Linked DNA regions of Pelodiscus sinensis. The protein of the gene in region 1 purifies or fractionates together with the protein of each later gene. This does not show direct contact. Links are inferred from orthologs where the notes say so. Each region holds a gene or a part of one and is shown on either strand. Other genes may lie near its edges. The genes, in order: IGF1R and RACK1.

Region 1 (3,903 bases):
GAAGTAATTATTCCCCTTTATTCGGCTCTGGTGAGGCCACATCTGGAGTATTGTGTCCAGTTCTGGGCCCCCACTACAAAAAGGATGTGGATGCATTGGAGAGGGTCCAGAGGAGGGCAACCAAAATGATTAGGGGGCTGGAGCATATGACTTATGAGGAGAGGCTGAGGGACTTGGGTCTGTTTAGTCTGCAGAAGCGAAGAGTGAGGGGGGATTTGATAGCAGCCTTCAACTTCCTGAAGGGAGGTTCCAAAGAGGATGGGAGAGAGGCTGTTCTCTGTAATGACTTGGTAGAACAAGGAGCAATGGTCTCAAGTTGTGGTGGGAGAGGTCCAGGGTGGATATTAGGAAAAACTATTTCACTAGGAGGGTAGTGAAACAATGGAATGGGTTAGCTAGGGAAGTAGTGGTGTCTCCATCCCAAGAGGTGTTTAAGTCTCGGCTTGACAAAGCCCTGGTGGGGTTGATTTAGTTGGGATTGGTCCTGCCTAGAGCAGGGGGCTGGACTTGATAACCTTATGAGGTCTCTTTCAGTTCTACGGTTCAATGATTCTTTGATTTATAATGGAATTATTTTCAATTTTACCATCAGTTTGTGTGTTATTAAGAGATCAGGCATTTTAGCTGGTATGGCAAAAGAGCAAAGTAAAAGGGTGTAGAGGAGTAAAAGTCCACAGGGTTGCCCTGGATGGCTTGGATGCCTTAATTAAGGACCAGTTTTTAAACATTTTCTTTCTCTTGATGAAAGATTTTTTTTTAAATCTACTTGCTCAATGAAATCTTCATTTTAACATTTTTTTAACTAATCTCCCTTATTGAAGCTGATCACCGGAGCCAACCTCGTCCGTATGCATGTTTGCTTGTGTAAGGCGACTAGGTATTGCTTTGGACGCAGGAGTGAGCCTGCAGGGCTGCTGGAAGGCCTGGCAGACACAAAGACATCAATGCGTTGGTTTACACTCTGTTCACGTCTCGAAGGTTTTCCTTGCAGCCATGAGGACTTCCCTCCAGCTTCGCCTCCGCCCCGCCCTCCCGAAAAAAAAATCATCAGATTCCAGAGCAGAAGCTGGCAACCTCTGCAAAACAAAAACACCGGCCCACTGAGCTAGTGCCATGCCAGTCAGACCCAATGCTATTCCTCCTTGCACGACAGCGGGATGCACGAGACCAAGGCATGGGTGCGTGCGCGCAGAGGAGTTGTTGCAGCCTTACGTGCACTTTGCACGGGGCAGACCTAGAGGGGCTGGGCGCGCGCAGCCCCGTGCACTGGGGCCCGGCTGCAGCTGCAGCAGCAGCAGCGCGCGGTCAGCCCATGGGCGAGGGCGGCAGGGGCCGCGCGCTCTGCTCTTGTCTCCGCCGCCTGGGCTCCGTTCCGGACGGCGCCGACGATTCCTCGCTCCTCTTTTTGCCTCGCGCCTACTCCTCCTCCTCCTGCCCGCCGCTGCTGCGCGCGAGGAGCCCCGGGAGCGCGTGCGTGCGCGCGAGCCCCCCAGTGCCAGTGCAGCAGCAGCAGCAGCAGCGGGCGCCTCTTGTTTACCAGCATTAACTCCGCACCGTGCAAGGGAGCGAGCGAGGAGGAGCGGCGAGGGGGGGAGACCCGGCCAGCCCCGCCGCCAACAGCGACAGCCTTAAACCCCCAGCAGCAGGGCCTCCTTCGCCACCTCCCCCCCCCCCCCTTGGAGGAATTACGGACCCTTTGCAACCAGCTCCTGGGCTTTGACCTTCAGCAAACCGGATTCCCCCCCCTTTTTCCTAGCAGCATTCCCCCCTCCCGCCCCTGTCTTGGGCTGGACAAGAAGGGGGGAAGGTTTGCAGCGCGCACACACGAGCGTCAGTTGTGTTTGGATGTTTGTGGCATGGAGAAGCAGCAGCTAGCAGGGATGCGAGGAGAGCAGCAGCAGCAAGAGGTGGAGGAGGAGAAGTGTTGAGCTGCTCAGCTCTCCCCGCGACCGCTTTGTGTGTTCTGGATTTGTGTGTCTGTGTGTGTGCGTGTGTGTGGGGGGAGGTTGTTTTTTTGGAAGGAGCCTGGGGCAGCAGCAGCGCTGTGAAGCTGGGGAAGCCTTTTCATTCATTTTTCTCCCGCATTTTTTAGGGTCTTTCGGTCCCCCTCCGACTTACTTTTGTGCTGGGGGGCGCTGCAAGGGGGGATTCCCTTGGGAGCAGCCTCTGCTCTCTGCTGAGGGGAATCAACTGTCTTGGGAAGCTTTATTGCCCCTTCCCCCATCAGCTTGCTTTGCCCCCCCCCCCGCTTTTCCCATCCGGTTTTGTGCGTGTGTTTGCTGCGTCTTTGTGGGGTTTGAAAATGGAGGCTGAAGATACAGACTGCCAGCCCCAACGTGCTTCGTGTTGGTTACTCCGGTGCCCCTTGCATCCCTGCAGGCAGCGCTGAGGGGGGAGTGTTGCTCAGCGCCCCCCAAGTATCGCTCGTCCTGGGGGAGCCCCAGCCCGGCGTGGTTATTGTTGTCCGTGCGTAGCTGCTCCGGAAGCACCTCCGCGAGGGGGAGAAACACCTTTGAATTTGCAAACCCAGGGGAGGGTGTTTTTGTGTCTGCGCGTGGGAGGAGCGGGGTGATTTTTTTCCCCCTCTCTCCCAAGCTCCCCCCCCTTAATAGAGCTGGTGTGTGAGTGGAGGGGAAGAAATTTTGGACTTTTTTTTGGGAAAAGGGGATCTTGTCCATAATTTTAAAAAAAAGGAATGAAGTCTGGCGCTGGAGGAGGGTCCCTGACCTTATTTCTGCTCTTCTTCGCCACGCTTTGTCTGTGGCCAACAAATGGAGAAAGTGAGTATTTGGCGTTTCATTGAAACCTGCGGGGTGCAGGGAAACGGGGTGGTGGTGGGCGCGCTTGTTTTGCACTGCGGTGACTTTTGAGTTTCAAAGGCTGCGTGCGTTTGCCTGTTACTGAAGCTGCCCCTTAAGCACATTTAATACCTTGAGTTCAGGCTGCTCTTTCCTCTCAACTCACTTGCGGTGCTTGGCTTGGAAATTCGTTTACCAGAGGTTAGACACTCTCCTGTTTCTGAAGAGTAATAGGTCCACTTGTTTCCTGCCCTTACCCCATAATCTTGTCTTCTGTGTTAATTTCTGTAAGCCTCTCCAGATTTCCCCCAGATAGTTAGATTTTAAACTCCCAAGACTTGTAAGGTGCTCGGTCAACATTGCAAGGCCCAGAAATGCATGCTTTGACTGTTTATAGGGGAACAGTGACTTTAGTAACTGAATGCCTTTTTTAAAAAAAATCAGGTGTTAATACCTTATCACTGAAAGAATTTCAGTAAACAAGCAGATACTGTGTTTTGTTTTTACCTAGCGTGGCTTTCCCTTCTTGGGATGCTCAGATGTAAAAGGATTATAGTCAGCATACGAAGATCACTTAATCTCCTAATTACTTTGTATAGATCTATACAACTTGGCGTGTGTGTGTGTGTGTGTGGGGGGGGGGATATGGAGATGGACGCACGGACTGACACATTGGAAGGACTAGGGATTTAAAGATAAAGAAATCAATACATTAGAAGCTCTGTTTATACCTAGAAGTGAAGTTCTGCGGTTGCTTTTAAAAAAAACTAGCGTGAGTTGTTTTCTTCTCTGTGTTTAAATTCTGCCTTGTGGAAAACGTGGTTCATTGTGTGTTTGTGCGTGCGCGCTCTGCAAATGGTTAAGTCTCTAGTGCACAAAGATGTCTGATGTGGCTTCTTGTTGCTGTTTATCTTTTCGGAATCGCAGGGTCTGTCCGTATTGTTTGGGAGTTGCAAAAAGCCCCGACTTCGGGTTTTTGTTTTTGTTTTTTGCATTTCAAACCTGTGATTATATTATCGTGCCCGCCCCCTTCGGTTGCAGGGGAAAATAGAAGGGGTGTGGATGGTGAGAGCTGAAATGCACTAGATTGCAATTATCTGCATAT
Region 2 (3,903 bases), on another chromosome or scaffold:
AAATTCAGTTTTCTCCACATTTCAGTGGTGCAAACTTACCCCCCAGATGTCTCTCGGGTACCCCTGAGGGGACTCATACCCTGGTTGAGAAACGCTGGTCTAGACGGTGCTGGGTCCTGCCGTGAGGGCAGGGGACTGGACTTGATGGCTCTCGAGTTCCCTGCTGGGTCTAGGGTTCTGTGCTTTTATTCCTCCGTTCCTCTGCGCTGGTTAGGCCTCAGTTGGAGGATTGTGTCCAGTTCTGGGCACCACATTTCAAGAAAGATGTGGAGAAGTTGGAGAGGGTCAAGAGAAGAGCAACAAGAATGATGAAAGGTCGAGAGAACAGGAGCTAGGAGGGAAGGCTGAAAGAATTGGGTTTGTTTAGTTTGGAAAGGAGAAGACTGAAGGGGGACATGAGAGCCATTTTCAGGTATCTAAAAGGGTGTCACAAGGAGGAGGGAGAAAACTTGTTCATCTTGGCCTCTGAGGATAGAACAAGAAGCAATGGGCTTAAACTGCAGCAAGGGAGGTTTAGGTTGGACATTAGGAAAAAGTTCCTGCCTGTCAGGATGGTCAAACACTGGAATAAATTGCCCAGGGAGGTTGTGGAATCCCCATCTCTGGAGATATTGAAGAGCAGGTTAGATAAATGTCTATCAGGGATGGTCTAGACAGTATTTGGTCCTGCCGTGAGGGCAGGGGGCTGGACTCGATGACCTCTTGACATCCCTTCCAGTCCTGGTATCCTAGGATTCTATGATTTCCTCTCTCTCATATCAAAGAAGGAGAAAGAGCAACTAATGAAATGAAAGGGCGGACACTTTAAAAACAGGAACAAGGAAATGCATGTTCACAGATAAACTTCTGAAAGCAACTGTCGCAGCCATTACGGGAAGCCAACGGTTTATTGGAGTCAAAGGACAATTAGTAGGATGGATTATGAAAACACTTAGGTTATAGCTACACTCGCGGCTTCCTGCGCAAGTGCGGCTGTTCTTGCGGAAGAATCCGCAAAGCGTCCACACGGCCCGCCCGCTCTCACGCAAGGGAATTTACAGCACGGCGTGGGAAGAGAGGGCTTCTTGCGTGAGAGCTACACGCTCTTCTAACAGGGGTAAGCCCTCTTCCACAGGAGCTCTTGCGCCAGAGGGCAGTGTGGATGCTGAATTATTTTACATATTCCGCATGCTAATTAGCTCGCCTATTTTGCATGCTAATTAGCTCTCACATTTGCATATTCACCTGATGATTAATTTGCATATTCATCGTGATCATTAATTGACTAGAATGAATCAGTGGATTAAAATTAATTAATTAACATTAATTAATGTTAATTGGCCCCCTGCTATTTCACGTGGCCTTTGTAACCAGACCACAAGACCCAGCTCCCCCACCCCCACGTGGGAAAGGGCTGTACGGAAAAGGAACCAAGATGGCCGCCCCCATGGCTCCGCGGCAGACGTCGCTCCCATTAGAACGCCGCCATCTTGCGGGCCCTGCTCCCGCCCGGGGGCGGCCATCTTGCCGTACGGAAGCAGCCGCGGCTGCTTCCGCTTCCGGGGCAGGCCGGCGCTTCCTTTCCGCTCTCGCCGTCGCCGGGAGCAGGCCCAGGCCGGGGGGAGTCCGGCTCCGCATCCGCCGCCATCCGCCGCCATGACGGAGCAGATGACGCTGCGCGGGACGCTGAAGGGCCACAACGGCTGGGTGACGCAGATCGCCACCACCCCGCAGTTCCCGGACATGATCCTCTCGGCCTCGCGCGGTGAGCGGGACCATCGGCCCCGGCCCGCGGGGGGGGGGCTTGGGCGAGACCATCCCCCCGGCCCGCGCGCGCTCCCCTCGCGGGGCGGCCGTTGGGAGACACCATCTGCCCCCGCGTGCGCCACGGGCGGTTGGGCGAGACCATCTCCTTAGTCGAGCCCCCTCCCCTCCCGGGAGAGACCATCTCCCCCCCGGCGCGGGGGAGACGGGAAAGACCACCCGGGTGGGGGGAAACGTGGGGGAGCGGCAGGGAGAGACCAACTCGCCCACGTGGCGGGGGAGGGACCATCTCAGTGCAGAGGGGGGCAATGGGGGAGTCCATGTGCGGGGGGGGGAGGGGAAAGAACCATTCAGCGGGGGGGGGTCAGTCTTGTGGGTCAGACCACGTGGCTGGGGGGAGGGGCACAGAGTTGGGGTGCCTGGGGGAGGGGCCCCAGGGGATGGGGGGCAGGGCAAGGGGGCACCTTGAGGCGTGGGGGAGGGGCTAAGGGGTTGGGGGTGCACCGTGGGGGGAGGGGCTAAGGGGCGGGGGTGCACCTTGGGACGTGGGGGGAGGGGCTAAGGGGCGGGGGTGCACCTTGGGGTGTGGGGGGAGGGGCTAAGGGGTTGGGGATGCACCTTGGGGTGTGGGGGGAGGGGCTAAGGGGTTGGGGGTGCACCTTGGGGCGTGGGGGGTTAAATTCCCCCCTGGGGGTGGTTCGGAGGCTCCAGGCCGGGCCTCTGGGCGCTTGGGTTCAGTGCCCGGCTCTTCTTTCCCCTCCTCCCCTCGCCGGGGGCCTGCCCGCCCACCTGTCCGTCCCCCCCCCCCCCCCATTCCCTCTCCCCTCCATGCGCCTCTCAACCTCGGAGGCTCCTCCTGGCCCTGGGTGCCTCCGGGCCGCATTTCCCCCCAGCCTCAGTTTCCCCATCAGTGAGGCCCGTCCTACCTGGGAGGCAGTGACTGGTAGAGCTGCTGGGATAGGGCCGAGTTGGGGGGCGCCTCAGGTAGCTGACGCAGGGGGGCTGGGCTGGGGGTGGAGACCCAAACACCATGGGGGGGGTGGCCCCGTAGAAAGGGGCCCTGGGGCCTTCCCGAGTCCGCCTGCCCGGAGCTGTGCCAGGCCGCGCTGACCCGGTTGCTGGTGGGCTCTGCCCAGGTGGGCCCGGCTGCTCTGCGCCCCTCCTCCCAGCCCCGATGATTAAACTGGTTGTGCGTTGACCCTGCTGGGGGCTGAGGATCATGAATGCGAGAGCTGAGGGTGCCGGGACGGAGCGGGAGCAGAGCGCTATGGGAAGAGCCGCCGGTTGGGGAGACAAGGGGGCCCCAAAGCTCCCTGGGAGCGAACTAACGCCCCCCCCGCCCCGGGCGCAGACAAAACCATCATCATGTGGAAGCTGACGCGGGACGAGACCAACTACGGGATCCCGCAGCGGGCCCTGCGCGGCCACTCGCACTTCGTCAGCGACGTGGTCATCTCCTCCGACGGGCAATTCGCCCTGTCCGGCTCCTGGGACGGCACCCTGCGCCTCTGGGACCTCACCACGTGAGTGCCGAGTCCGATGGCCTGGCTGCCCCGCCCTTCACGGGGGGAGGCCGGCAACCGGATCCCCCTCCCAGAGCCCCTTGGCTTCTGGGTCCCCTTAGTGGGGCCAGAAACGGGGCAGGGGAACATTGGGAGGGGGGTCTCGTGACCGATTGAAATGTACAGTCTAAAACACGAGGGAGACTCCCGCACACCCGCTGCTCTGGGTCCCCGGAAACGTGCGCTCGGCCGTTAGGGGTAGCGGGACCGGCACCGCCCAGGGGTCGGCTCGGAGCCCCTGCCCCTGAAGAGGCCGTGCCGCCGAGACATGGCCGGTCTTGGGGACATCCAGGCGGGGGGGCATCGGGATTTTCGGAGGCGCCTCCCCCCAGTCCCAATGATTAGACCTGGTGTGTCTGTGCCGACCCCCCTCCGGGGGCGTGACGACATGTCCTGCAATTATGATGGGGCTGTGATGGGGGGACATACAAGATGGGAAGCGACTGTCTGGGAAGGAGCATGGCGGAAAGGGATCTAGGGGTCATAGTGGACCACAAGTTGAATATGAGTCAACAGTGTGATGCTGTTGCAAAAAAAGCAAATATGATTCTAGGTTGTATCAACAGGTGTGTTGTAAGCAAAACTCGTGAAGTCATTC

The links.
Region 2: the proteins of IGF1R (region 1) and RACK1 purify together in Homo sapiens (affinity purification with western blotting; 4 studies listed by BioGRID, with this or other methods). This does not show direct contact. The link is inferred for Pelodiscus sinensis from reciprocal best matches to the Homo sapiens genes IGF1R and RACK1.

What each region holds. Positions count from the first base shown.
Region 1 is NC_134724.1:8,750,554-8,754,456, forward strand, and holds the start of IGF1R (insulin-like growth factor 1 receptor), read left to right. Parts: upstream 1-1,430; 5' UTR 1,431-2,695; coding exon 2,696-2,780; intron 2,781-3,903. UniProt on the Homo sapiens protein: Receptor tyrosine kinase which mediates actions of insulin-like growth factor 1 (IGF1). Binds IGF1 with high affinity and IGF2 and insulin (INS) with a lower affinity. The activated IGF1R is involved in cell growth and survival control.
Region 2 is NC_134742.1:1,211,502-1,215,404, forward strand, and holds the start of RACK1 (small ribosomal subunit protein RACK1), read left to right. Parts: upstream 1-1,543; 5' UTR 1,544-1,635; coding exon 1,636-1,744; intron 1,745-3,094; coding exon 3,095-3,266; intron 3,267-3,903. UniProt on the Homo sapiens protein: Scaffolding protein involved in the recruitment, assembly and/or regulation of a variety of signaling molecules. Interacts with a wide variety of proteins and plays a role in many cellular processes.